4 linked regions of the Mytilus edulis genome follow. The protein of the gene in region 4 purifies or fractionates together with the protein of the main gene of each other region. This does not show direct contact. Links are inferred from orthologs where the notes say so. Each region holds a gene or a part of one and is shown on either strand. Other genes may lie near its edges. The genes, in order: CREB-regulated transcription coactivator 1-like, serine/threonine-protein kinase SIK3-like, phosphatidylinositol polyphosphate 5-phosphatase type IV-like and 14-3-3 protein epsilon-like.

What was found.
Region 1: the proteins of 14-3-3 protein epsilon-like (region 4) and CREB-regulated transcription coactivator 1-like purify together in Homo sapiens (affinity purification with mass spectrometry; 3 studies listed by BioGRID and IntAct, with this or other methods). This does not show direct contact. The link is inferred for Mytilus edulis from reciprocal best matches to the Homo sapiens genes YWHAE and CRTC1.
Region 2: the proteins of 14-3-3 protein epsilon-like (region 4) and serine/threonine-protein kinase SIK3-like purify together in Homo sapiens (affinity purification with mass spectrometry; 4 studies listed by BioGRID and IntAct, with this or other methods). This does not show direct contact. The link is inferred for Mytilus edulis from reciprocal best matches to the Homo sapiens genes YWHAE and SIK3.
Region 3: the proteins of 14-3-3 protein epsilon-like (region 4) and phosphatidylinositol polyphosphate 5-phosphatase type IV-like purify together in Homo sapiens (affinity purification with mass spectrometry; 3 studies listed by BioGRID and IntAct, with this or other methods). This does not show direct contact. The link is inferred for Mytilus edulis from reciprocal best matches to the Homo sapiens genes YWHAE and INPP5E.

What each region holds. Positions count from the first base shown.
Region 1 is NC_092347.1:28,358,979-28,365,924, reverse strand, and holds the start of CREB-regulated transcription coactivator 1-like, read right to left. Parts: upstream 3,013-6,946; 5' UTR 2,963-3,012; coding exon 2,852-2,962; intron 2,737-2,851; coding exon 2,620-2,736; intron 2,495-2,619; coding exon 2,366-2,494; intron 1,183-2,365; coding exon 1,121-1,182; intron 1-1,120. UniProt on the Homo sapiens protein: Transcriptional coactivator for CREB1 which activates transcription through both consensus and variant cAMP response element (CRE) sites.
Region 2 is NC_092348.1:92,250,885-92,258,640, forward strand, and holds the start of serine/threonine-protein kinase SIK3-like, read right to left. Parts: upstream 3,003-7,756; 5' UTR 2,967-3,002; coding exon 2,832-2,966; intron 586-2,831; coding exon 469-585; intron 1-468. UniProt on the Homo sapiens protein: Positive regulator of mTOR signaling that functions by triggering the degradation of DEPTOR, an mTOR inhibitor. Involved in the dynamic regulation of mTOR signaling in chondrocyte differentiation during skeletogenesis.
Region 3 is NC_092345.1:8,937,382-8,944,649, reverse strand, and holds the start of phosphatidylinositol polyphosphate 5-phosphatase type IV-like, read right to left. Parts: upstream 3,026-7,268; 5' UTR 2,883-3,025; coding exon 2,798-2,882; intron 1-2,797. Other genes in the region: uncharacterized protein, read left to right, coding at 3,926-4,860. UniProt on the Homo sapiens protein: Phosphatidylinositol (PtdIns) phosphatase that specifically hydrolyzes the 5-phosphate of phosphatidylinositol-3,4,5-trisphosphate (PtdIns(3,4,5)P3), phosphatidylinositol 4,5-bisphosphate (PtdIns(4,5)P2) and phosphatidylinositol 3,5-bisphosphate (PtdIns(3,5)P2).
Region 4 is NC_092349.1:66,417,277-66,424,915, forward strand, and holds the start of 14-3-3 protein epsilon-like, read right to left. Parts: upstream 3,006-7,639; 5' UTR 2,835-3,005; coding exon 2,771-2,834; intron 1-2,770. UniProt on the Homo sapiens protein: Adapter protein implicated in the regulation of a large spectrum of both general and specialized signaling pathways. Binds to a large number of partners, usually by recognition of a phosphoserine or phosphothreonine motif.

The sequences.
Region 1 (6,946 bases), on a different chromosome or scaffold from region 4:
GAAAAGTAAGTTTATTTTGCCTCTTTTGGTTAATAGTATGAATGTGTATTGCCATGTTTTATGAACATGTAGTATGAATGACTTTTCTTATGCAAATTTTATAGAATAAATAATCAAAACAACAACTTATGCATCTTTATTAACAATATATACAGAAAAAAAATATGTGAAATCGTGATACACTCAGGGACGTAGACAAAAAAAAAATGAGCAGTGCCTTCTCCTATCATAAAAAAGTGCCCTGCCCTCCACTGGCACCCTGCCCCTTTTGAATTCTAGCTAGAGCACTGTATAACATTGACTATTTATAATTTAAGATTCTGAATAGCATATTCATATATGAAATGAAGATTATACATACCCCAAATCAATATATAGTTATCAAACGTAAATGCATTTTTATATAGTATGTTATAAAAAGGAGGGTAATTTTTATATAAAACCTCTCAAAAAAGGGGGAGGCAGTGCTGTGTATTTACTATTAATCCATTTATGCAACAATTACCACTTGTGGATCAGGATAAAATAACATGTGCTTCCTGTCATCTAACAAATTTTAATTGGAGTGACAGTTTAATTTGAAATTATGGTGTTTTTTTAAGTGGTGCAGATGATAAGCCCAACATCATTTTGATGTGATTTCTCTGGCTTAGTTGCAAGACTGTATTTATGTTATATTTAGTATTTCTAGTCTGGTTGGTCAAGCCATTTAAATCTTTTTCAGTTTAAATTAATATTTGATGGTTACAGTATTGATCCTTCTAAGAGGAACGATGACTTTAAGGCAAATGAACAATAATTATTTTGCAAAAGAACCTCTTTACCCATTAAAATAAGAAATTTGCATTTGAATATATATAAAACCCAGATTTTGCTTTACCATTGATTTTTGCATGAGAAATTAAGTATATAGGATAACTGTGATTTAAAATTCCATTGCAATACCACAAAAGCAAAAAAAAAATATTCATTTGCTTGTGTTACATGTAAATCAAACCTTATAATATTCAAATACTTTACAAGCATATATAGTGTGTGATCACTCAATAATTAGTATTATAAGACTGGTATATAGTTAAATTAAAGCAACTGATAAAACAGAAAATTGATTGTTGCTTACCTCCTCCAACTGGTGTCTGGGGGTGGTGACAAGTAAGCTGATCCATAAGGGGAACAATTTGTCTGAAAAAAAAGTATTTGTGTTACAACTGTTTATCACTTCAGAAGAGGTCCTTCAATGCCACTTAGGAAATTTGTATGCAAAAATCAAGTAACATGGGAATAAAATAAGAAGGCTAAGTTAGCTTAATTTAAATCATTCTGTTTAGGAGTGGTGCCTTTTTTTCTAGAACCAGATACATGATAGCTATAAAAAATCAATGTTTACAAAGGTGTATTCAAATGGTGCAATTAGTGATCAAATAGAAAGTACTATTAATCCTAACAATGTTTGTTGAGATTTATTTGTCCAGTAGAAATTTTACCTAAAAGGACAATAACAAGGAATTTGTATCAAGTTTGAGACCCCAAAAAAGACACAACATTTTGCCATGATTTAATAAAAACTTAATCTGACAATCACACCATTTAAAGAAATCTTATACATGTATTTAAAAGTCATTGAAGTGGCATTACTGGCACTGCTTCCCTTAATGTGACCTACATGAAGTTCATTTTTGTAATTGTCTTGTTACAATTTGGCCATAAATTCAAGCATGTCAGATATTATAGTAAATAAAAATTTCCAGTAACTTTTTTATCTTATAATTCTATCTTGAGTAATGTTGTGCAAAATCATTTAGGCCAAGTAAAACAAATTGCAGCAAATTATAATAATGCCCTGGAACTATTGCTGGAATCATTTTGTCAGGAGTGTACATGGTACATATGTACATGTATATGCATGTGTATGCAATGTGCATGTATGTCAATCAGTTATCCAACCTAAGTCACAGCCATCTTTAAATAAATCAAGCAGAAATAGACATGCCATTTGCACCAAAATCAGCAATACACTATATTGTGATTTGTTCAAATAACTTCAATACTGAAAACTAGTTGAAAGTCCTAATTTATCTAATATCAACTAGTATGATGCCGAGCAGTAATATGCATTTACCCAGTTAACTTCATCCAATCAACATTGTGCTTATTAAAAATAACTGACTTACTGGACTCAATAATGAATTGGGGAAACTAATGATATTTTTCCAGACTAAAATATCAAAGAAGTTTTCATATACAACTCGTGTTCAAAATTATGTCAGTGTGACATCAACCTGAGTCAAACAAGACATTTTCCCAAAAGAACCTGTTAGCTAGATGTGAAAAAACATATAAGTTAAAGTTAATAAACTGTGTGTACCCTAGCTTTATCAATTGGAAATCCTCGTCTGTGCGGACCGAGTGGTCTCCCCTTGTCTCTGACTGCATGGAATCTACTGTCCATCCGGTTTGGCATCTGTCTCAAATCATCCAAATGTTGAAATGCACTCTATCAAATAAAAGATAACAATTCAAATAATGTTTCATAACAATAATATTTCATTAACATAATCTATAAAATGTAAACAATAATCACACGAGACGACAGTTATGTCAACATCGTAAATATCTCACCTGTAGATCTATACCGGAATTTGCCACCATCTGGTTGACATTTGGTAAGGAACCGGCTCTGTACTGTGTACTTATGTTTTGTTGGAGTTGAAGATGCTGCTTTTGCATCGACGGGACCTACATATAAATAAATAACAGCGAAAATTAGTTTCATGTTGACAAAACACGATTCATTAGTCGACATAATTAGAATGCTACCGATAAGGCGTTTCAAGCGACAATAATAACAAACCTTCGTAACAGGCGTAACATCCCGCATTATTGCCTCGAAAGCAGCAGTTTCTTCTGCTTGTTTTTGATTGTGTAATGCTATTTTTTCACTGAACTTCCGTGGATTCGCCATGATGGCAGAAAAGGACAAGCTTGTTATGATTTTGACTTCGCAGGGGGCCTAATCTATTGTTATCCAATCAAATCCATCCGTGTAATACATGTGATCTTTGATAGGTGGCAGCACAACAAGCACCTGCTAATCTATATAATGCTGAATTTTCATAATTTAAAAGAAAATCAGTAACAATAAAAGGCTTAAGCAGTTAAAAATTCAGTCATATTAATGATATATAAAGATTTAAAATCTCGAACTCATTTATATTTAATGTTATCATACAATCTGAGATTACATGTAGCTATCGAGACGTTTCGGCCACACTGCCAGTTCGTCCACTGGCCGTTAGGTTACAGTTAGTGAAAAGACGATTTCAAGTTTGTTTCTGCCATATTTTGTTCATATTGTTTATCGATTAAATAATGTTCTGAAATCGAATTGTGGAGGTCCTGAAATATACTAAAATAACCAAAGGAACGCAGTTTCACTTTCAACATAATATTTCGCAATGCTGACACTCATATGCATTTCCCGAGTGGACTGATTTATAGCGGCTAAACACCCATTTAATACATGCGTAACCAATCTCTAGCTGAGGGATTTAATTAAAGGTCACATGAATACGGATTCAATGAGGTCGAATTGTTCACTTGCAAGTGAATAAGTTATCAGCGAAATTTCTTAGCTTATTTTGCTGACAAATAATATATTGTACAAAATCGAAATGATAAATATCTGCCAACTAAAACGCAAAAAAAATGCTTAGCAATAGATATAAATAAATGATCCTACCGAAAACACCACCCAATATTGGCAGAATACCAATAGGTCATATCCTTATAACAGTCCGAGGTCATGAACATGTTCACGGTGAAGGGTCTGTCATCATTTAACTGCATGCTTTTCATTTTTTGCCCGGAATGTGTGCAGTTCTTGACGATTTTAAAAACTTTGGACGGCTGTAACCGAAAGGTGATAATCATTTCAAATTTATCATGCTGACCTTCAGAATCCAAGCACTGAACGTTTCGTTTTTACTGCTCACAATATCCGACACTCTTAATCTAAATACGCAACGGAAAATTCATCATATATACTAGTAAAACAAAAATACAATAAACTTTTAGCCACGATTATAGTCTTTTGTTGGCGATTGATAGACATATCTTTTATCGACGTGGACTAAAAGACATATCTTCTTATTTCGACAGTGGCTGATATAGACAGGGACTGACAAGCATATCTTGAATTTGGCGTAGCTCCATTATTGCAGTGAGACCGTGATTTACTGCCTCACCAATTATATAAATGTGACCATCGAGACCTATATCGCCAACCGTAGAACTCGCACAGAAGGGGTGTTTAGTGTTCGTTTGATTATGCAGCATGTCACTCAATACTCTAGGATCCAATATAACGTAATTTAAGTATCCCCTTTACAAAGTTGTAGTCTAAATCGACTATCCTTCGTTCCATCGATCGACCTTTTTTTCTGAACCTAAGTTGAGGTTGGATTTATTTATTTGTTTGAATAAACCTCAGAGGTTGACTTGGGTATGGACATGTGTGACCTCCATGATATAGCAGTAAACATATGCTTAAGAAGGGCGTTAGTTTGGTTATAGTCGGATGCACAAGTTCACAGAATCATTCGATTGGAATGTGGACGTTTAATAAGATGCCCAGTGTTGGGAGAGTGCTACACCCTCTTCACGTGGGTCATCAATGCTCTTGAACTTTGTACTGTTTGGCTATATAACAATTTTGATCTGAGCGTCACTGATGATTCTTATGTAGACGAAACACGCGTCTGGTATATTGAACTACCTTTGATATATTACTAGTAACCCATGCAACGACTCTTTCTGTTATCCACAATGTTAGAAAATTTCGGTCCATGTCTATACCCTTCTTCCCCAGTGTAAGTGGAAATTCGAACCCTTCATTCTGGTCAATCTATTCTGCAGAACCTATTTATTTGATTATTGTCAATCCGTCATCTACCTGAAACAAAACCTGAGATATTTTTTTATAATTTCAACTTGTCGCTTGACAGTCAGCAGAGAACAATCAATCGAATAATCAAACACGCGCCTATAACATTCGACTTTTTACTTCAGTGTATGACATGATTGCAACTCCTTTGAACAATCAACTCTGGATTCCTTTCCGAATCCTTGAACGATCCGATGAAAGTAAACATAGAAAATCACTCTGGACGCACTAAACTGTTTTACAAATATTGTATTGAAGGTTCTTAACAAAATTCTTAATTTGTTCTGATCGGAGGTTTTTTTTTTTATTCCTAATCCGGAATTAAAAAATATTTCTTTCTAAAAAGAGAAGACCAACATTATTGGGAAAGAAATTGAGGGGCATCTCATATAAACTGTTAACTTTCTAAGTAATTACTTCAAGGTTACAAAACGTCCATCAAAACAGTAGCCATCGTCTTTCGCTGACTTTTTTAATAGGAACTAAATTAATGCCATGCTATACCGTGTCAACTTGAAAATATGTATCCTGTACACGTGTTGCTAGATTGTTGTTTCATAAAATTGAAAGCTCATTTGCATCATTTCGCATTTCGGTTATCAAAAAATTCTCCTTGCCGATTTCTTTCTACCTGTCTAAGTCTTGATACATCTAACTGTATTTGTGGTAACTTTTATTTTCAAGTCCAATGACATAGATGCCACCAGCGTAGTTGAACTTTGAATCAGGTAGGAAATAAACTCCTCATATATACCAGGATTGAAATTGTGTATTTGCGCCAGACGCTCGTTTCGTCTACAAAAAACTCATCAGTAACGCTCGATTCCATAACAGTTTAAAAAAAGACCAAATTAAGTACGAAGGTTAGGAGCATTCAGGGCCACAAATTCTTCTTGTATATCGTGAAACGTTAATGAACGATGCTAGCTTAATTTACCCCCCCCCCCTTTCCGAGTTATTTTTATGTTTTCTTTATGCAAAAACTGGAACAAGTTGACGAAAAACGGTTCATCACACTTTTCCCAATGGTAATACCAAATGCACCAAATGAAACAATGATGCAGTCGATTCAAAAAAATATGCACCCTGTTAATATTAGGACCGATACTTTTTTGTAAGATTTTCTACAAATTCGATTTGTAGTCAACTGAAGCAGTGACAACGCTTTAGGAAAAAGTTATAACTCTTAAATTATTACAGGGTAAATGAAGTCATAACGCACAGCATCTTACAACACTGATTGTCTATTAGTCAAAATTTCCATAACCAATCCTTTAAACAGGTTTGCTTTCACAACTTTCAACTTAAATAAATCAATGGTTAACATTAACACAATATATATATATATATATATATATATATATATATATATATATATATACGGTGCACACATGTATTTAACTATTAAATCCTTTGTTTACATTTCCAGGTTGATACAGCGTATATATCTACATACATGTATTTACCCCATATCCATAAGTATTAAATAGGTTAAACTGACATGTTTCATTAAACTATAACGTTTACATTAAACATATATACTCGTCAACTGAAAAGATGTAGAGTTTGAAATATTTTTAACAGAAAACAATTAAATTAAAGGACTTATATAAAATAAAGACAAGAAACGTGTGTAGCGCTATCATAATAACATCTGTCTGAACTTTTAATATTTCATTTCAATGTATAACAAAAATGTTTTTCTGTTACAAATCACAATGTATTGTTTTATTTGTACATGTCATGCTGCACATCAAGGGTCCTTGGTTGGAATAATACATATGATTCTATGTCATGCTGCACATCAAAGGTTCTTGGTTGGAATAATACATATGATTCTTATTCTTATTAAAAAGAAGTTACTCGTCTTAACTCGACTAATTCTGTTCCGTCATCCCAGAATTAAAAAGAAGTCACTCGTCTTAACTCGACTAATTCTGTTCCGTCATCCCAGAATTAAAAAGAAGTCACTCGTCTTAACTCGACTAATTCTGTTCCGTCATC
Region 2 (7,756 bases), on a different chromosome or scaffold from region 4:
CCAAATGCTTTGCTAGTTCAATGAGTTTTCCACCTAATACTATTATATGATTTTCCAGTTATATTAAGTCTTTTGAAGTTCTGACATTTATTTCTCTTTTTAAATTCTTATACCAGTATAAGGAGATGTAGAGTTGTTATTTATAAAAATATAACATTCACCAACCAGTGTTCTCCCCAGAATTATCAAACAGCACCATGGAAATTAACATAGCAATGGTTTTCCAAAAAATATAGAACCATGGCCACTATATACATTCTGTTATAAAATCATCCAAGATACAACCATGGTAGAAAATATAGCACCAGGGTGACACAGTGCCTTATATTTAAGGCCCTAACAGTAACAGTGACTCAACAACAACACAGTGCAATAGTACAGGGTCAGGGATGTATTTGTTGGATGCATATATATATATAGTTTACATGATAATTGGAAGCATTTACATATGTACATGATGTAGTTTACCTGATAAAGTCTGATGATGTGAGGATGTTTCAACATTTTCATAATTTGTATTTCTCTGTAAATTTTCTTCATGTTATCATCGTCAAGCTGTGTTTTATCTATTATCTTAATGGCAACCTGCAAGGAAAACACAGCTACATTTGTATACAGATACATATGCTTATTCAGTTTTCAAGATCAAATCAAATGCAAAAAGAAAGTTTTGTATAAGCCCATCATAATCATGATAAATACCTGTTTAACATGGTGTTAACTTATTGTTACATTAAATAAGCCATTTTATGTGGCAATACAGCTGCCTTGCATGACACTTGGGGAGTACATTATAAGAATACATTGAAGAAATAATCTTTTAGTTATAATTTCTATTTAGTATGAAAAAAAAATTGTCTTTATCATGAAGCTTTGCAGACGACTTTCTAAAACTAGCAAAAAAGTAATTTGTATAGATGACAACCGGTCTCCTCTGGCATATATTTTTTTAATTTTCTTAATATTTCTGGGGGAATAATTGATTGATGATTTATTGTTGGTTGATTTATGTCCAGTGGCAAATATTTCATGCATGTTCAGGATGAGAACAAGTTAATAGAGAGGCCTAGACCATCAAGGATGATGGTCTGGGAAATTTGGACTGCCACTTGAAAATTAGAATTTAGTGAATAGACACAGAAATTTTGCCCTACAACAGGCCACCTCATGGAGTTGTTGCAAAAGTTATTAACGTGCAATGAGCGTGGCACTCTCTTCACATGAGGCATCCAAATTAAACTTTACCATTCTGACTGGACGTGGCTGCAAATTTGTACATCCCGCAGAGCCAAACAGACCCCCAACTTTGACAAGCGTTTTATTACTGGGTGGAAGAAGACCAAGTTACCATATTTCTTAGGGGTGTAAGGGTTGGTGCCTTTGCTCATTGTATATGGCGGCACCACTCTCCAAGGATAAGGGGGAGGGTTTGGCACCCACTAACATGTTTTACCCTGCCACATTCTGTACGTGTCTGTGCGAAGTTAGGAGCCTGTTATTCAGTAGTTGTCATTTGTTGCTGTGTTATATATTTGTATTTCATTCATTATTTTGTACATAAATTAGGCTGTTAGTCTTCTCATTTGAATTGTTTTACATGTCATTTCAGGGACTTTTATAGGTGACTATGTGATATATGGGCTTTGTTCATTGTATAAGGATGTAAGGTGACCGTGACCTATACATGTACATGCAGTTGTTAATTTCTGTGTCATTTGGTATCTTGTGAAGAGTTGTCTCATTAGCAATCATACCACATCTTCTTTTTTATTTGTCAAGTATATATACAAAAGTATGCACATTACTAATAATATCCTGTTTAGCAAAGAGATATATTTGAATTCCTTTGGTCCAACTTTGGAATCTGAATAAATCTGCTGGTCAATTTACTCAGCCCATTGGGGTCAAGTTGTCTTTGAACAATTGATCATGAAGATCTACTGCAGTGATTAATAGCCAGAAAAATTTGGTTGATTATATAGGGAATCATTGAAGCATGACTGGAGCCCCACCCCTAGGAAAAGTTCTGGATCCGCCACTGCAGATAACAATACTTGTTAGACAGTCAAGGTTCTAAAATGGGTCCGAGAACCTGGTGAGAAATTTAATGACACTGTAGTTGTCATTCACTGAATAATATTTACAATAGAATGAAATAATTTCTGACAATACATGTATACAATGTACATGTACCACAAATATAAACCTACAACGATTCTCAAATTTTAAGAAAAAATCAGTGGAAAAGATAATAAATTTTTGTTGAAAGTTTTTACCATTAATTCTCATGCTTCACATGACAAAGAAAATTTGATTTGGTGATAGAAAATATTCAGATTGTGAAAAAAACACTACCCCTTGATTGGTTGATGTTGAAACTTACATGGTCAATTTCCCTAAACTTGTGATCTACATTGTTTAGGGAAATTAGCCTATTATATCAACATTTAATAGTTTCCATTCAAATCAATATGACATATGTCTCTGTCATCTTCATACTGCAAAAAATAAGACTACAACATGAACAATTGTTTCAGTTGTCAATCATAAGTAAACAATATTCTGTCTCAGCCCCATGGCAAGTGGGTTGTCGACCTTTTTAGATTTTGAAGTCTTCGTGCTCTGGTTATAAAATTTGTAATATCTTGGTTGTACTCTGTAGAGTTTTCTTTAAAAATGCTAGGCTTATCAATTGTAAAATTCGCCAAATGACACTTAACAACGCATCAAAACGTGTGTATATGAACCTTCTCCAATGACTGAGCAGTGATGTTATTCTAACTGTTTTATGTGTATCAATATATTGTTTACTGAGTAACGCCTTATCTTACCTTTGTTTTAGTGTACATATGAGTAGCCAATTTGACGACGGCGAAATTTCCTTTTCCAATGGTTCTATCAATTTCGTAACATCCTATTCTAACGATTCCCCCGTGGGGTTGCGACTTTCCCTTCACCGTCGCCATTTTGTTTACAATATAGATCCACGCATGCGTTAAGTCTCCAAAAGCAATACACAACGAACTTCTTCGGTTGAGTACACACCATTGACACACATTCAACACAAGTAGGTCAATCGAAACTTTAGCGACGAACTGCGGTTAAGAGTACATATTGAAATAAAAATGTAACTATCAAATCTTTTAAATAACAGATGAGAGACATTTATAGTGTGTATGAAAAGAATTAGAATCAATATATAATTGCAACTAAGAAGAAAGTGTGGACTCACACATATGTTTTGTTTAACGAGATCGAATTCATGTGTACGTGATCATAGGAATACTATATTTTAATATCCTACTCCCAACTTTAAAAGTCTTGAACCAATATAAGGGTCTGAGACTTTGGGCACCCCATTATTCACCATTGTACTCTTTATTATTTGGACATTTTTTCTTTCTTTTCAACACCTCCCTTGTTATCTGATCTGTTAATCCCATCCTTACCCCATAGATAAAAGGGCTTGCAACTTATATTGTTTTCAATATCACTGTCCAGCTAAAAATACCTGTAAATTTCTGTGTTTGGGGACTTATTTAACTCCTATTAGGATTGCTCATTTATTTCTAATATAAAACATATATGACTGGTTGTATGGTGTCTATATAGCAGTTTTACTTCCACAATCTATATAAAATGGTTCAGATTTCCAAAGTTGGAGAATTTTAATTTTCAAATCAAATCACAGTCTTCAAATCTTTTAATTTAGAAGATGCAATTAATTATTTTTACTTGGTTGGATAGAGGAATTTTCAAAGGGTGGTGTAGAAGAGAGGCGAAGGATACCAAAGGGACATTTAAACTCATAAGTCAAAAATAAACTCACAACGCCATGGCTATAATGAAAAGGACAAACAGACAAACAATAGTACACAAAACACAACATGGAAAACTAAAGACTGAGCGACACGAACCCGTAGTGTATACTTTTATTCATTTTTAGCATGAAATCATTAATTATTTTTTTTATTAAAAACTGTATTTCGAGCATCCAAATATAAAAGTACCAATATATACTGTTGAAAAAGACGAAGATACGAAATTCAAACTTCTTTTTGCTGAGTGTAGTCTTAGACCAAATAAAAAGTATACTGATTACAGAAACTTTGGAGAACACTGTCCAAAATACAGTTATCTTGTAATTACAGAATATCCATTATTTTTAAAGTTAAAGAATCATGAGCGAAAAAATCAAAGAAAACAGAAATGAAGTACCACCCATCGATACCCTAATACATGATTGTCTAGGGGTCTACCAAAGCCGGCCTCCTATGTGGGATAACATCGCTGCGTTGAAGACCAATTGGTGACCTTGGACTGTTTCTGCTCTTTGACTGTGCTTATTATTTGCTTATTTTATGTGAATGTGTATGTGTATTTTATTTCTTTGTTCATTATTCCTTGTATTTGCTCTTGTACATATTTGAGAGTATACCCTGCTTGCACTGAAGTACTGAAGTGCCTGGATGTATTAGTCTACCAACATATACTTTTGTTGTTATGTTCCATTACATTTAGTGTGAACGGTTTGTTGTTCGGTCTTGCCGGACTACTGAAATACAAATTTAAAGAGCAAAATATTTCTTCTTGATTTCATATAGTCGAAACGCCATCTTAACTGGCTATATATTACTTTAAGACAAATGTCTTTGATATTACTGGTAAATCATATTAAGTCAACGCTTTCGTTAACACAAGTTACTTATAACCTTTAATAAAATTAATAAATGATGGTATGATACTAAACCCCTAACGGGAAGGATTGTGCCTGATGTTCATATGATGAAATCATAATCTTTCAGTCAGTTTAATTGAAGTCTGGAGCTGGCATGTCAGTTAACTGCTAGTAGTCTGTTGTTATTTATGTATTATTGTCCTTTTGTTTATTTTCTTTGGTTACATCTTCTGACATCAGACTCGGACTTCTCTTGAACTGAATTTTAATGTGCGTATTGTTATGCGTTTACTTTTCTACATTGGCTAGAGGTATAGGGGGAGGGGGGAGATCTTACAAACATGTTTAACCCCGCCGCATTTTTGCGCCTGTCCCAAGTCAGGAGCCTCTGGCCTTTGTTAGTCTTGTATTATTTTAATTTTAGTTTCTTGTGTACAATTTGGAAATTAGTATGACGTTCATTATCACTGAACTAGTATATATTTGTTTAGGGGCCAGTTGAAGGACGCCTCCGGGTGCGGGAATTTCTCGCTACATTGAAGACCTGTTGGTGACCTTCTGCTGTTGTTTTTTTCTATGGTCGGGTTGTTGTCTCTTTGGCACATTCCCCATTTCCATTCTCAATTTTATTCCAAATACACAGACTTGGTTTAGAAGTTAGCTAAAGGCTTCAAACCGAAAAACACATCCTTAATTTTACGATGATGTTGTTTACCGAGCCAGTAACTTTAGATATAAGCCGGGTTAACTAATCGATCCTTTAAATTAACTTATTTTACAATGTTACCAATTCAATACTGTAAGTATATCTTTGAATATCGTTTTATCGGTATAAATATTGTTTTGGTTATCAGAAAAAAAAAACAAAAAAAACTAACATTATTTTTGTATGCATATATATATATATATATATATGCATATTCACAGTATTTTGGCATTGGATAAGGTCATGTTTTTGGTTAATGACGTGTTTGCACTAAATCCATTGGATGGTGGGTGTGTACTGATTGATATTTTAGTCTACGTAAGTTAAATGTTTTATTACAGTTGTTATTTGCTTTGTACTAGTTGTCAGTAACTGCGAGTATTCTCAGAATTGTACTTTGTGTCATTTTTTCTGTTGCTGGTACCTTTACTTGTACAGTGTATCGATCTGATGAGTTAAGCTCATTTCAACTGATTTTTATAGTGCTTTATTAGACTCATTTTCTGTAATAAATCCTGAAGGTTTGAAAAATGTATCTGCATTGCAGTTCTAGACATTATGTGCATTGCAGTTCTAGACAGTATGTGCTTAGTACATATCTCATGATTCTTGAAAATATTATAAGCAAACTGACAATTCCATGGAAAAAAATAAAACAAAAAACGACAAAAAGTAAAAGAAAAGTACACAAAATACAACATAGAAAACCAAAGACCAACCAACCCCATAAAAAACCGGAGATGCTCTCTCGTGCTCCGGATGGGTAGGCAGATTTTTCTCACTATGTCATCACGTTCAAACCCGGTTAAAATCATATAAGGTACAGTTAATTAGTTAGACTAAATTTTAAACTAACCTGTGGGCCAAACTTATTGATCTGTATTGATATAATTCCCCTTACAGAGTATAACAGGAAATATCATACAGAATATTCAAACTTATAAGGGGAAGAAAATCATTTAGCCATACGAATGGATTTTCTTGATCTGCTAGTTTTAGTACATGACCAGCGCATAGATATAAGAAGTGATATGAGTGCCAATGCGACAACTCTCCATTCATTTCACAATTTGTAATAGTAAAACATTCAAGTTAGGTAAAAGTACGGTCTTGGCTCACACAAAACAGCAAGCTATAAAGGGCCCCAAAATGACTAGTGTAAAACCATTCAAACAGGAAAACCAACAGTCTAATCTATATAAAAACAAACGAGTAACGAGAAACATGTACCACATCAACATACGACAACCATTGAACATCAGGTTCCTGACTTAGGACAGGTGCAAACAAATGCAGCGGGTAGTATTGTTTTAATATGCACCACATTCACCCTTATCTAAAGCAATATTGTAATATCACAACATAGAATGACACAATATCACGGTCGCGAAACACGCGACTTAAATATCAATTGAAATGGCTTCACTCAATCAAAAGACATATTAACAGAAGTGAACATACAATGAACGAATAAATTTGATCTAAGACACAATGTAAACGAGACAATATCTGAAAAAGCCTAATTTTTTGGCAATTAGAAAAATCAAAATAAATGTCTTTAGACCCGCTATTTTGATAGCACAAATCGAACAACACACATTGAGGATCTAGGAACTGTTGTCTGTAATTCAAACAATTGTTAAAAGTGACAACTAACAATAACAATTTTAAAAATGTTACAAAAAATCCAGTTCTTTCCTGTTACCAAAGTGAATCAACTTTAAAAAGTTTCTAACGGGAATACGGAATAAGTTTAAGACACTATTTGTGGTCTACCAGTATATCCTGCAATAGTTTATCAAATGCCAATTATTGATTTTAGCATTTGCAATACATAAGGTTTAGAAATATACTAAAATATAGAAAGATATGTCGGTAACATGAAAGAATCTTGAGTAACAGGACAACGGTAACAGGACAGAGTTGGTAATAGAAAGGTTTTTTTTTCTCTCAAAAAAATGCTTTATTTTATAGTTTAAGAAAAATACATCATTTCAGATTGGTAACAATTGGAAGATAACAGCAAACAATGTCATTTATACTTTAAAACTGTATTAGCAAGATGAAAAATCTGCCTAGGTAATGAAAAATTCTAAAATAAATTCCTTTCTGTTACTATCTACTATACTAGATTTGCACAATGTTCTCTGCTGTTATCAAAAGCAAAAAAAAACTATTTTTTCATTCAATATACTGTATATTATTTTGAAATTTATTTGATATTGTAATGATAACTTATATTAAATGAAATAGTTGGCATGTAGTAGATTAACTTTTTGATTCATCAGTGAAATGGTCTTGAACATCCTTCCTGTTACTGATTATGGTTATATATGCTGTTACTTTTTATCAGGTAAGCCTCATGGTGTCCT
Region 3 (7,268 bases), on a different chromosome or scaffold from region 4:
GTACACTGCTGGAGTTATGATATCTGTTGCAGCTCTTCTTTGCAGTTGTTCCAGGCTATTTATTTTTGCAAAAGTGTGTTGATCCCAAACTCTGCAACAATATTCTCATTTTTGGTCTAAGATAGTTTGGTAAGCTCTTTTTTGTTTGCCTGATGAATGATAATGATTAATTTGCTTTTGCTGTTGGTGTTAATTATTTATAGTATAACTAATCGCCGTATTTGAATATCAAAAATAAGACAACGCGTGACCGAACGACGCATGGATTAAACGAGTGCGCAGCAGGACTTTAGTCCATAGCGGCGTTCGGTCACAAGTTGTCTTATTTTTGATATTCAAATACGGCGATTAGTTATTCTTTTTATTACATTGGCAAATGGCTTTTTTTTATAAAATTAATGTAGAAAATGTAAGGAACTATATCTTTTTCCTACGCATTGACAATTTGTTTTGATCCGACGTTAACGACGTCTTGACAACGCCTATTGTTGTATGACGTCAGAGAGTGAAATAACCGCGTTTATTTCACATGTGAAATTATCGGTTTTTATCTAACTGGGAAATCAATGTATTCATTGCAACCAATGTAATAATATATATTTTTTTTATTGTTCTATTTGAGATAAGAAAAAAGCGAAATGCCTAGATATTTTAAATAATTTTATACTTTTTTTTGAAATTGTTATCATCATTTTGTGAGTTCATAGATCAACTTATTTAAAAATTGAAGAAAAATAAAAACAAAATAAAAAGCAAAACAGAAAACAAAATTATGAAATAAAGGCAATTATTGTTTCACTTTATTAAATTATAGATTTCTAGATATAAAAATCTATAGATCCATTGTTTAGAGTTTAAGCTTGTCTCAGGTTGAGTTACAAATGTATCTAGAAGCACATGTTAATTATCCAGATGTTCAAAATATAGAGTTCTTCCCAAGCCATGCTGAAAGATGTGATTTTACTGTTCAGTGTTGAAATTTTCAATGCAAATGTAAACTACCACTATCACACATTTTCAGAGTATATGCCCACAGGCACTTGTCTCAGAAAAAAATTTCCTATACCTTATTATAACACAAGGTACTTAACTTGCATTTTAGAAAAATGTCAGGTTGTGACGAAGTTCCGTTATATGCCGCTTTATAGGCTGTCAACCCCACTAAAACTTGTTATATCGTAAATCTAAATTGATTTATCTTTACAATGGTGTATAACATGCCTATATTTGTTGTCGGAATCATCCGTATCAATCCTACCAAAGTATGTCAATCGTAATAATTTTGCAAACCGCTGAAGAATTGGCAATACACGTCCGCAGTAAATGATATATTATAAAAATTGTTTTAAAAAAAACCTGTTAGTTTTCGTATGAATAGAACTTATCATACAGTTAGTAAAATTATATAATATACCATGAAAAAAATCTAACAAGTGTTGTTTGTGGTATGTCTAATTACACTTTTTTCAGATAGTCAGACCTCAATTGGAATTTTAACTTTAAACTGGAAATCAGAGAATTACATCAAAGTCATAAGAGAAATTAAGAAAAACATGAAAGTATTAAAGATGAATGGAATTCCATTAAATTTTGAATGGACACCTGGTCATGCTGATATCCAAGGAAATGACATTGCTGATTCACTGGCCAAAAAAGGAGCTAAAGAAGCTGAAAAAATAGAAGAACCATCAGAAGTAACCAGGCAGGATATAAAACGTGCAGCAAGAGAAAGTGTTTTAAGAAAATGGCAGAACCAATGGGAATCAAGTCAACGTGGCAGAAATTATTACAACTATCATCAAAAAGTATGTCAGAAAATACCAAAAGATTTACCATCCAAATGGTCGTTTTCAATTACAACTAGTTTGAGAACAGGTTATTGTGATCTAAATGATTATAAATCCAAAATTATACCATCATCAGACAAAAACTGTTCCTGTGGAGAGCCAGAAACTGTAGAACACGAACTTTTACATTGTTCTAACTATGAGGAGGCTAGAGAGAGGATGAGAACATCTATTTACTTTATTACAGGAAATATACACATGGATTTAGACACCTTATTAGGAATCGATGAAGAAGACATTAATAGAGACAATCGAAATGAGATATTGTGCCATCTGGAAAATTATTTAACGGAGTCTGGTAGATTCAAAAACACTATACAGCAAAAAACACTATAAATCTATATCAAAATTAAGTCAAAATTTTTTAAGCAGCAGCCACAATTTCAATTAAGTACATGAGTGAACATTACATATGTGAAGAAACTACAAAAGAGGAAACGTACACAAGTGTTTACAGTGTCATTTGGGACACTTACTAAAGACTTAAGACTAAGTTACAAATTTTTCCATGACGTCAATGTCTTGCAGACTCTCTTTTGACTTTACGTATGAAATGAAACAAGATCAGAGATAACTCCGAGAATCATTTAGACTTTCCCATAGAATTGACCAATCGGAAACCGAGATATACAAGGAGACGTGACGCGTTTATTGCCAATTCTTCAGCGGTTTGCAAAATTATTATGATTGACATACTTTGGTAGGATTGATACGGATGATTCCGACAACAAATGTAGGCATTTTATACACCATTGTAAAGATAAATCAATTTAGATTTACGATATAACAAGTTTTAGTGGGGTTAACAGCCTATAAAGCGGCATATAACGGAACTTCGTCACCACCCGACATTTTTCTAAAATGCTAGTTAAGTACCTTGTGTTATAATAAGGTATATAGGAAATTTTTTCTGAGACAAGTGCCTGTGTATATGCCTCATATCAACTTACTTGTATTGACAGAAAAACTGTTACAGCAGTGATTATCAGTATGTGAATATAAAAGTTGTGTGTGAAATTTGGGTAACACATCCATGTTTACATGTTTACCTTCTTTACTTACTGCATATCAAATTCATGCATTATTGAACATAGATAGTGTGTTTTCTTAACAACTAAAGTTGTTATGCGGATGTATGATTAATTCAGAAACCACAGTTAATCATTATTCTTGATTATTATTTACCCCGAGTAAACCATAGCAACTGTATAAATTCAGAATCAGCATCTGAGATTTATATATGCCATTATAGATTCTGAGTAATTTGACAGAGAAAACGTTGATTGGCAAAGGCTGTAAGAGAACTGATAATATCATATAAAAGTTGCATTAATGTGATAAAACACGCTTATTTACCGGCGTGTGTATTTGTTTATATCAGCAGCCACCATCTTGGAATGCAATCCACAGTGCGCAGCCTCAGTAATATTTGCAAGGTACTTAGAATCTCTGTTGCGTTTGCTGGTAAGGTAAATGTCCATTCTGTCAAGCGTTTGCTGGTGGAATGTCGTACAAAAATATTAATGTTAAAAGAAATGAAATAATATTGCATATAAGATATAACTTTGCACTCAAAAGTGTAAATACTGCATTTTTTGTACATTTCATGATGAAATACGTAGTTTTTTAATGTTGCAAATCATAACAAAACATTTACGATGCTGTTCTATTCACTCCCTCTTATTTTCGTTTTAAGATAATTACATTTTAATTAATCTTTTGGACTTCTGTTAAAAACAATCTTTTAAGAGGAAACGATTAAATTATTCCGTAATGCAAATTGTGTTTGAAATCTAGAATTGACAAATAATTAATTAAATTTGGAGGTTAAACAAAAAGTAACAGCCAAGAGGGATGTTCATGCCAACAATCATTGTTTGAAAATGGAGGAAAGGGCACATGTGTCAGGAGACTGCAGCAACCTTTTCCAATTGGATATATGGATAAAAGGAAGTTATTGATAAACTGCTTGTTATTTTATTTCAATTTAGGTTTACACTTGAGATGAATGAAAGGAAATGTCATGACAAAGTAGAAATCATATTTAAATTAAACTTAAAACTGTGAGTTGAGTAACCATGAACTCTGCTAGAGGAGCAAAATCCCCTTCAAATCATGATCTCAATATATTTTTGGATAGACAGATTCAAAATAAATTGCTGGAAATTGATGATCAGTTGTGGCTGACTGATTACATGGTTGAATCAAAAGGAAACACTGAATTAAAAGTGCCAAAAACTATTAAAGTGACCAGGAATGAGGATGTGACAGGATGGTTTAGCAGTTCAAAATGTGTTCTACGCAAACTGGAAAAGGAGAAGCCAACTCCACAACCTATTACTTACTCATGGAGAGAACAAACACGATTAAAAAACTTGATTCAAAATAGTTTCGTGTTCAAACATTATCCTTACCATCAATCATATATTGAACAATATAGGGAAGAAAATTCTCAGTTAAGTGGAATTAAAACAGTAGCCCAAAAAGAATCCAATGAACCCCGAAAAATAGCAGTTCAAAATACTGCAACAATAACAAGTGCACAAAACAATACCACTGCATCAGGAAATATTTATTCACAGAATTCTGGTCAGAATATATGCAGCCATTGCAATCAACCATATACTGTTTCAACATCACAGCCTCTCATTACTGCAGCCTTTAGTTACACACGTAGAGAAACTACCTCCCTCTCAAATGGTGCTTGTAAATGTTCTCAATCTAATTCTAACCCCATTCCTCATTCATCAAGTTCTCATACTTGCACTAAACACAATCATCACCAACACAAAGATGTGGCTAGTTTAGCCTATAAGTATAAACTTTCCAAGGAAGCATTGATGCACAATATTGCATGGAAATCAGAATCCGACAATTCAAGTGAGCATGAAAGAGATTCATTTAAAACACCAAGAGTAGCATCTGGAAAAAGATCAGCTGGAAAAGCACCTACCAAAGTTACTGTGCCATCTCTACCAAATGGTCACAATAAAAACATTCAAACAGTTACTGTGTAAGTATATAAATACATTGAATCTTGCTAGTAAAAATAGACAGATTGTACATTGTAAGTCCTTCATGGGTAGTAAAAGTTGTTCTCAGTAATCAGAAAGCTGTTGGTAGTAAATTGCCAAGTCTGTACAAAACTGTTTAAGTTCGCCATGATATTATAGCTACATGTACTGGGCCACTGACCCCAATACAAGTTTTTTTCCACAAAAATTCTTTATACAATGTTATTTTACAGGTTGTTGCTAGATAACATGTACATGATGTATGTATTAAGGAATTTGTTTCTGGTCCTTCTACATTTTAACTCTCCTTTCAAATTCAAAATGACAAAAATTAAAGGCTTGTTACATGCATATTAATTGTGAAAACTTCAGCTATAATCATGATAATCATACATTTAAAATTTAACATTAATTTACCTCAAATATTCAGTTACAAATGAATGTCATGAACGTATACGTACATGTATGTCTTTGAGAAAAAAATCAAAAATCAAATGACATTCAGTTTTTAGATACAAATTGTATTTAAGACATTCATGTACACATACATGTACATATATTTTGTGTATTGAACATGTTGAAAATGATGTGTTTGTCACTTTTACTTTACATGATTTTTTTAAATTCTGAATTGATGTTTGAAGGACTTGTTGGACATTTTCTACATACATTTGTACATGTACACATATAACTGTCTCAAAAACCAGCCAAGGTACAAATGTACATTGTACAGTAATGAGGGGGAGGACAGGGGTAAGGGAGACAGGGAGAAAGGGAGTAGGAGAAAGGAGAAAGAGGGTGGGAGAAAGGAGAAAGGGGGTAGGAGAAAGGAGAGGAAGGCTGGGAGAAAGGAGAAAAAGTTGGAGAAAAAAATAAAATATGAAAAAATAAAATATCTCTCTTTTTTCCGGTAAATTAAAAAAAAAAAGTAAGGAGAAGAGGGGTAGGAGAAAGGAGAAGAGAGGTGGGAGAAGGGAGAAGGGTATCCCCTGTCCTCCCCCTCAGTAATATTGTAGTACAAAATGTATGTATATGACTATGAGAAAATATAAATTAGTTTTTGAACAACTATTGATTTAAAAAATGATCATTTGGTTATTGCTTTTCATGTTTTTATTATAGGTTTGTATCATTGAGCAGTTTAACATATATTCTTAAGGAAGTATTCAGATAAAACTTTTTCATATAGATTTCGATCAGAACTATTTAACAATTGATGAAAGAAGTGTATTGGAAAAACTTGTCATTCAATTCTGAAAATCTACAATTTGAATTTTGAAAGCCTTTACAATTTTTATTTTCACCTTTAAAGATTCTCAAATTTCTAAAATAGCATGCATACAAGAAACGAAAGGTAAACATGTTAAAGAAAATTGACAAGTTTATCCATTTAAAAAGTAACATTTGATGTGGATATCTGATAAAAAGCAAGAATGACCCACTGTCAGATGTCATTGTTATCAATTACAGAATAGGTTTACTTGCTTTTTCAAATATATGGTTAATTTGATGCCCCTGAAAAATCTTACAAAGCATTTACATACATTAAATAAAAGTCCTTTATTTAAAGTATTCTTGTACAGAATTATATAAAGTTTAAAAAATGAAGATTTACATCTGTATATACATGTATGCATATTAAAGTTTCAGATCCCTAATTATATATAATTTGCCTGTTTAATCATTCATAGAACAATATAATTTTACTCCATATATATATACTGTAATATACATGTACATGATAAATGTAAAAATAAATGCGTATACACTGTACATGTATATATATATTTAAAATCAGAGCAATTACAGACTGTTTTCTGAGAAAGAAAAAAAAAGCTAGAAATAACTACATTGTCATGATTGTATTCTATATTTACAAAAATATAGATACAGGTGATTTATTAATATTTGTTTTAAAAATAGTTTGTTAAAAGAATAGAACATTGTTGTTATTTCCTTTGCAAAGATGTAATTATGAAATGAAAATTTTCCAAAAGCTTCATACAAAATAGGATTATTCAGAATAAGGGCATGGTTGTTTTTAATCCAGATTATTATGATTCACTGTACATATATATATATATATGATATATACATATATATGCGCTATAAATCATACATTGTAATAAAGCATTATGTTCAGTAAATGACAAGCGTTTAAATAATTTTCACCTTGATCTATTTTTGATTTGACAGATAGAGTCCATTTTTCATCTATTTAATCAAATTCTCACACAAAAGAATCTATAAGCAAATAAGAGGATTAAAAGCTTACTTCAGAATGCTTACAGTTGTGGGAGAATAAGAGTAGTTGAAAATTTTGTGTGACATTCTAAGTGCACTTATAAAAACCCTTACGTTTACATGTAACACCAGGGAGAAACCTTTCAATTGATAAATATATATA
Region 4 (7,639 bases):
GGGACCAAAACTCCCAAAATCAATACCAACCTTCCTTTTATGGTCATAAACCTTGTGTTAAAATTTCATAGATTTCTATTCACTTTTACTAAAGTTAGAGTGCGAAAACTAAAAGTATTCGGACGGCGGACGACGACGACGACGACGCAGACGCCAACGTGATAGCAATATACGACGAAAATTTTTTCAAAATTTGCGGTCGTATAAAAACTTTAACCTCAGAGTGAACGTCTTGTTTCCAGGCAGAAAAACTAAGTCCATTTATAAGTAAAACACAGAATGGAATTTTTACAAAATTTACTGCTGAATACTATCTTATAATCATATACTTGCTTCTGTTTAAGTTTAGTACAAATCCAGGATAGTTTTAGAAAGTTATTTAAATTTCAAAAACTTTTAACAGAGTGAATATTTGTGACGGAATGTTGGATTGCTAGGTCTTGCTTTTTCATATAATTTTATTTAAGATGCATATGTTAGTGATAAATTTGTCCTGGTAAAATATGTCTGGGCGGACAAACATTACTAGTATAATAAGTCCATGGTTACAGAATTTACTAGTATATCTAGTCCAATGTTAGTAATATATGTCCCCAGACTAATTTTCCTAAGTAATCATGTCCTTTAATTTAAAATCATATAATAAATTCAATTACATTTAAACCATGGAAATTTAAATGTTATGTTTTAGTAATGTTTAAGAATTGCATAGTTATATTTTTGATAAAATTCATGTCCCCAGACTAATTTTCCTAGGAAATCATGTCCATGTCATTAATAGTTCTAGGTTAAAATGTCTTTGCCCTTAATTTTAAAAGGTGAATATAAAATTATAAATGTAATATGTTTTAATATTGTTAAAGAGTTGTATGTATCAAATTCATGTCCCCAGACTAATTTTCCTAGGAAATCATGTCTATGTCATTAGTATTCCTAGGTAAAAATGTCCATGTCTTTTATTATAAAAGAAAATGTTATAAGCAATGGGAATTCAATATTCATGTTTTAATTAGGTTATAAAGAAAATGTCCTTCATTTTAATTGGAAAAAAATAAGGAAATTCTCCAATCTTATCTAACATTTTTTTCATCTATTTTAAATATATTTTATGATTTAATAAAACTCTAAAGAAAAACAAGTCTTAGGACAATTTTTCCTAGAAAAACAAGTGCTAGACATAATTTACTAGCTATGGACTTATTTTCCTAGGAACATTTGTCCTAGGACTTATATTACTAGTAAAATCATGGACATGAACTTGATTAAGTAGGAAAATAAGTCTGGAGGACAAATTTTACTACCGGACCAAATTTACTGTTACACTTATGGCCTGTAGAGATGATTTTACAAGCCTTGGATGCAGAGTCTGTGGCCATGTGTGAAGACTATGTTGGGGTATGTAGGGATACCAGAAATCTTTTTATTTTGTAATAAAGCAACAGTTTAAGCTCTATAGACTTCCTAGAATTAATAATGAAAGGGGTGTTTTATGTTCATTGGGATACAAAAGTGCATAGTGAAGACTTTTAGAGCTTACAAAATAAAAAATAGGTTTGGTTCCTGTTACATACCGCAATAATAGTCAGTTGATCATGATTTATATTTTGCCTGCCTGCATTGATTTTTATGAGCATTTTTTAAAGGTTAAACTGTCAGCGCCATAAATGTTTCCTTTAGAGTTTATGGTTCGATTTTATCAACCAAAAGATAAGCTCACTTACTCAAGTTGGCATTTTAAAGTTAGCTGGCCAATATTACCAATAAGATCGTAACAACTTCTGGACAACTCTGCATTACATACATGTATGGGGTGGAAGCGACAGACTAGTATAACAGCGAACAAAAATGGTATCCAAGACCAGTTTTTGGTTGAACAATCATTGAGTGAACTTCTTTTGGGCCTTAGATAGTTACCAAATAGTTGTTTCATCAATGTTTATTAGAAAAGATGGTGACAAACCCAATAAAGGGTAATCAGACGTTTTATTGGACTACATGTATATACAATGGCAGATTTTTGACAGGACATATTTCCGGACTGGCTGTATGTCTATGGATGCATTATTTATAGAACATCACACCATTGAAATAGTAAATCAGTATTTTGGGATAGTAAAAATTTGCAGATTAGGTTTCTACCAAGGCCACTCCTTCAAGTTTTATTTCCTATATTATTACAATCAAAAGTTATAACTTGTCTGCAGGTGGATTGAACATTATCATATCATACACATGCAAGGAAAACTCGTTGAATTATGAGCAGTCAGAAGGGTAGACCATTTAACATTAAATGATATGTCTGGGAGTTTAAAAGAATAACTGTTCAAATGTGTAATACATTTCAAATGGTTTTCAAATGTACACCATTGCAAAACAATATATAATTGTAGATTCAACTTCAAGAAACCTAACGATACATGGACGTTGTGCATATTTTACATTTATTTAGAACAGTTTACTGGCATTTAATATTCAAAATCTGCATTTAGAAACAACTAGAATCACCCAAAATGGCGACCGTCAGTGTCATGTCAATATCCATGGACACAACTGCAAATATTATCCTCTACGGACAAAAACAGTTTAAAACATTTACCAGTAAAGTATTAAACATGACATGCAATCAGAAAATCAGACATAAAGGTAAATAAGAGGCATACAATAGAAGTTTTAACTGCTTCCTCGTCTTAAATTATGCGAGAGGAAGTAATGCAAGATAGCCGACATATTTTGATTGAATCGTTGACATGTATCGTAAACGAATAAATACCATCATATCTCTCGGCCTGTTCAGCCAACTTGGCCATGTAAACTAAATCCTCTCTATCAGCCATTTCGATGACCACAATTTAGCAAAGATTCAGAAAGATTGTAAATTACTATCGTAAACTGTTCTAAAATGGCCGATGCCGCCAATGAAAGTAGTTCCTTACTAACGGTTGTATCCATGCGCGGGAACAAGCCCATTCATGATTAATTCATTTACTCACCGTTTGCACACGGACGTAGTACGATATATTAATAATTTTACGATTGTCAATTTGTGACCTTGACTTCAATATGAATGCAAAAAATGTACAAATTTAGTCATTTATGTCAAAAAATCTTTTTTCAAAACAAAGTAATTTATTGAAAGATCATAAAAAGCAACTAGACACAACATTTTCTTACATATAATACTGATTTTTTTTCGCTTCTTGCTGTTCACAGTTTCTTAAATTTTTATGAACAAATACGACGCAGCGATTGACTAAGGGAGGAGGTTGCGTTAACTAGGTTGTCAGCTAGAATGTCTATTTCGTGAAAGACCCTCTGAAAATATGCAGCCGGCGTTTTGTAGGTCAAAATTAACGCATTAACTTGAAAAATCACTGAGCAGATGGAAAACATTGCGGAGAAGAAGTATTTTAAATAAATGTGTTAGTCAGATCATTGTCTGCTAAGCAATTCCGGTTCAAGCTGGTCGGCAAATTTTAGTCAATCTGATTAATCAGATCATAAGTCAGTTGTCATACAACATATGTGTCTTTAAATTAATATTGATCAATATTCTCGTGTCATTTCAAGGCAACTCAGTTTAATACGGTCCAGGCTATCTACAATCGTACAATTCAGGGAAATAATCTCTTCGAGAATGCAGTTTTGTCATAGCGGCTATATTTCAATGAAATGCTGAATTTATTTTAAGAAAATACCGAATTCTGAGGATTTTGCATAAAAAGAAAGGGGTTTAAGTATGCATTTACCATAGTATCCATGATTATGTAATCCTAGCTTTAAAGGTTTCAGTTTATTTAGGGAACAACCTCTGTCCGAACCCAACCCGCCTCTGAACTTCCATATTCCGTAATTAGAGGCAGATTTAGGGGTAGCCGTTGTGGAAAACAAATGGCTTATCATACACTATTCATAAATTAATGGGAGCGTGTCTCCTATTTGGAAGTCTTTGCTCTCCATTTTATGCTTGAAAATATCATGCAGGATTTGCCACGATTAATGACCGCCTGAAACTCTTTATTTTGGCTATTTTTATGACCGCCTTAAACGGCGCTGATTTTTTGGGCTATTTTTATGACCGCCTTAATTGCATTTTTTATATGTTATACATGTAAGCCTCAAATCTGTGTCCAGCCTAAAAAATGTGTCCTTCCCTCAGATCTGTGGCCCCTTCCATATTGCATCATAGACTTGCACCATATAGACGCCACAGGTCTATGTCATTGCTTTCCCTCAAATTCTGTTCTTTTCGTGAAACAAGTCATACATTGTCCTATGTGTTTCCGCAGGAAATTATCAGAGTCATACATGTATACATGTATATCCGTTAAATTGTCAAAGCATAGTGAGAAATATCGAGCCATGTTGGGTGCAAAGAAAATCATGGATGAGCTAAAAGTAGAATTTTTTAACATAATGGTAAAAGTTTGTTTGTCATTAGAGTTATGACTCAGATTTGAAGAAGAAAAAAACAGAGGATCGATAGCGGAGCCTGTGTCACTCACCTTAAAGTCTATGTGCATATTCAACAAAGGACATTCTACAACATTATAGACGAGAATAAAATTCATGACAAAAAATTCTGTTATGTTGATCTTGAATTGTATCGCTAATCATTCAGTCTGGTTTAGTTTCTCTCTTTCTTAATTCTTACGTTTTTGCTTACAACACTGACAAAAGAGGGGTCAACAGTCCTCTTTTAAGGGCAATTTCTCCTATAAATTTATTTATGAAATGCACATTTATACCCCTGGGGGTTGAAGGTATATACAAAAAATACAATACAATATACACAATGGAAATTTAACATATTAAACATCATATATAAAGTGGTAAAACAGTAATATTCAGTATGCAGGCGTTGTGTCCACTCCCCTCAGTGCAAATGACTTTTTAATGAACGGAACAGTAAGCTGCATAATATCAAATGAAGATAGAATTAATTGTTATCTGTCTGTTTCAGACAATTTAAAGTATTCTGGACATATATTATTTATATCTTTTTCAAGCTGCTTACGTAAAGATTTATTAATTTTACATTTTAAGAAAAAAGAAGGACAGTCTACTATCTAATTAAAAACCGATCTCTCATCGCTCCCGTTTTCTGATATTGAGAGATCAGGTTTTAATTAGATTGGACAGTCTATTAATTTCGTTACACAGCAAAATTTGACTTGTTAGTTCTTGACTTGCTGATAATTTTTGTGATTTAAAATGTCTTTTTATCTATTACAATCTTAACCATATAAAAGACAAAATGCCAAAAAAAATTGGTAAAAATCGTTGTCAATGGACAATAACGCCAATAAGGAGTGGTCAAATTTTTTCCCCTATATTGTCTTAATTTAAGTTCTTGGCCTACTGATAATTTTTGCTTATTTACGTTGATATGGCGAAAACGCAAAAAAATGGTAAAAATCGTAATTAAAGGGCAACAACTTTAATAAGGCGTCGACAGACGATTTCCACTAGATGATGATTTGTAGAACTTGTTTTGCTGATCATGTTTGCAATTTAAAGCTTCTCTTTTCTATTATAGTTTTCAAGATAATAGGCAATATTTAAATGAAAAAGGTAAAGAATTGTCACAGGACAATAACTCATAAAAGAAGTCTTCTGGCATATTTGACGTATTTGGACTGTAGGGCGTATGGCATTAGCGCCGAATAAAAAAAAAACAATCTTCCATTTGCGCCGATTTCATATTTGCGCTTAGTTGCATTTATATTTTAACATAAATAGGCGAGTAAATACTTGTGCATGCACTATACATTGAATGTAGTTTAATCTAATCCTACTTCCATCTCCCTGGAGTGAGGGGACAACAGTTATATATGTAATTCATAACATTTGTACAACTGGCTAACGGAAGAGGCCGTATAATCACTGGTGGTAAGCAGATGGTCGTAACTTAAAGTTACGACCATCCGAAGATGGGAGACAACTCTAGGGATACATTTTTCTTTTCCAATTTTCGTGCAGTAAAAAAATGTTTCAGTAAAACCGCTTGTCTCATACATACTAATCGTCAGTGCGTTGATATTGAAACAAAATTTGATACATAAAAACATTCCAATTTTCGTAAAATGATCATTCAATAATTCGAGCATGATGGTCGTAACTAAAAAAACAAAAATGTTCAGGATGGTCGTAACTTAAAATTGTGATGGTCGTAACTCTTTATTAAATAGGACCTAATAAGACAAGTCAATAGTTTTAAACGTGTCTTTTGTTATATGAATATATTATATGATATATTTGTGAAGTTGATTTCACTAAATGATAAAAACTAATAGAGGTGAAGAGAGGGATACCTGTAAAGTGCGAAAGGAAAGAAAATTGGAACGAATCGAAAAAAAAAACCAATACAAAATGAAATGACCAGTCACTGTTACTTAAAATATAATGTATAAAATCAACCAAGAGGCAACTAATTATAAGCTGTTAAGTTTAATAACAATATAAATTCTCAAAAGTGGAGAATTCATTTTAACACACAGCTCTTGTTATGATCATTCTTAGTTACGAATTAAGAAAAGGCGATTTTTAACAAATTTGACATCACATGAAATAACAGTATCCTGATTTATTTTCTTTATATTTTGCATGGATTGAAAAGATAAACTTTTTAAAAACTAGTATGTACCTACTAGGTGGAATTTAAAAGAAAAATCTACAATTTAAAATTGATACTTTAAGTCGAAAGAGCATAAGTAAGGAGTCAAAATAATGTTATGGGGATCGTTGGAGACCATATCCGCGAATTCGCAGGTCCGTAATTGAATTAAACAACATACATCTTATTCTTAGCCTGGATTTTGAGAAGTCGTATTGTCATTTGGTATATAGTCAAGCTGATTATAAGGTGCAAATTCGAAGTTCAGGTATAATTATTACCCGTGGTTTTTGAAAATTCTGAATACGCCTATTGGTACCATGCTATCCGTTATACATCTTTATCTTTCTTATGAAAAATACCAGGAACCCTGGACCAAACGTTTTTTATTCCCAATTCATAAAGGGAATGATGCATCCGATCTTAATAACTACCGAGGAATTACAATTACTGATTCATTGAGGAAGCCTTTTTAATAAGATACTTGATACACGTCTTTGTAAATCCTTAGATAAATATCATATCATTGATGAGAGCCAAATTGGGTTTATCAAAAAAAAAAAAAAAAAAAAAAACATGACCGGTACCATCTGACCATATGTTCATTCTAAAAACTATTATAAATAAGTATTGTAATACAAAAGAAGGTAGAATGTTTGCTTGCTTTGATGATTTCCAGAAGGCTTTTAATACTGTCATTCTCCCAGGGATAAAACTTAAGCTATTGAATATAGTTAGAGAGTATGGTAAGAGATCTCTTTAGAACTAAAGTTGGAGTAAAACAGGGAGACAATTTGAGTCCAAATTTGTTTAAAAGTTTTATAAATGAACTTCCTGATTGTGTTAAAAGTTCCCCTGATCCAGCTGTCGTTTATTCACGACCAGCCTATTCTTTACTATACATATGCTGATGATCTTGCCATTTTACTACTTCAGCAAAAGGACTTCAAAGTAAACTTGATGGATTAAGATCGTTGTTTGAAAATTAATCCCAATAAAACCAAGCCATAGTATTTAACAAGACAG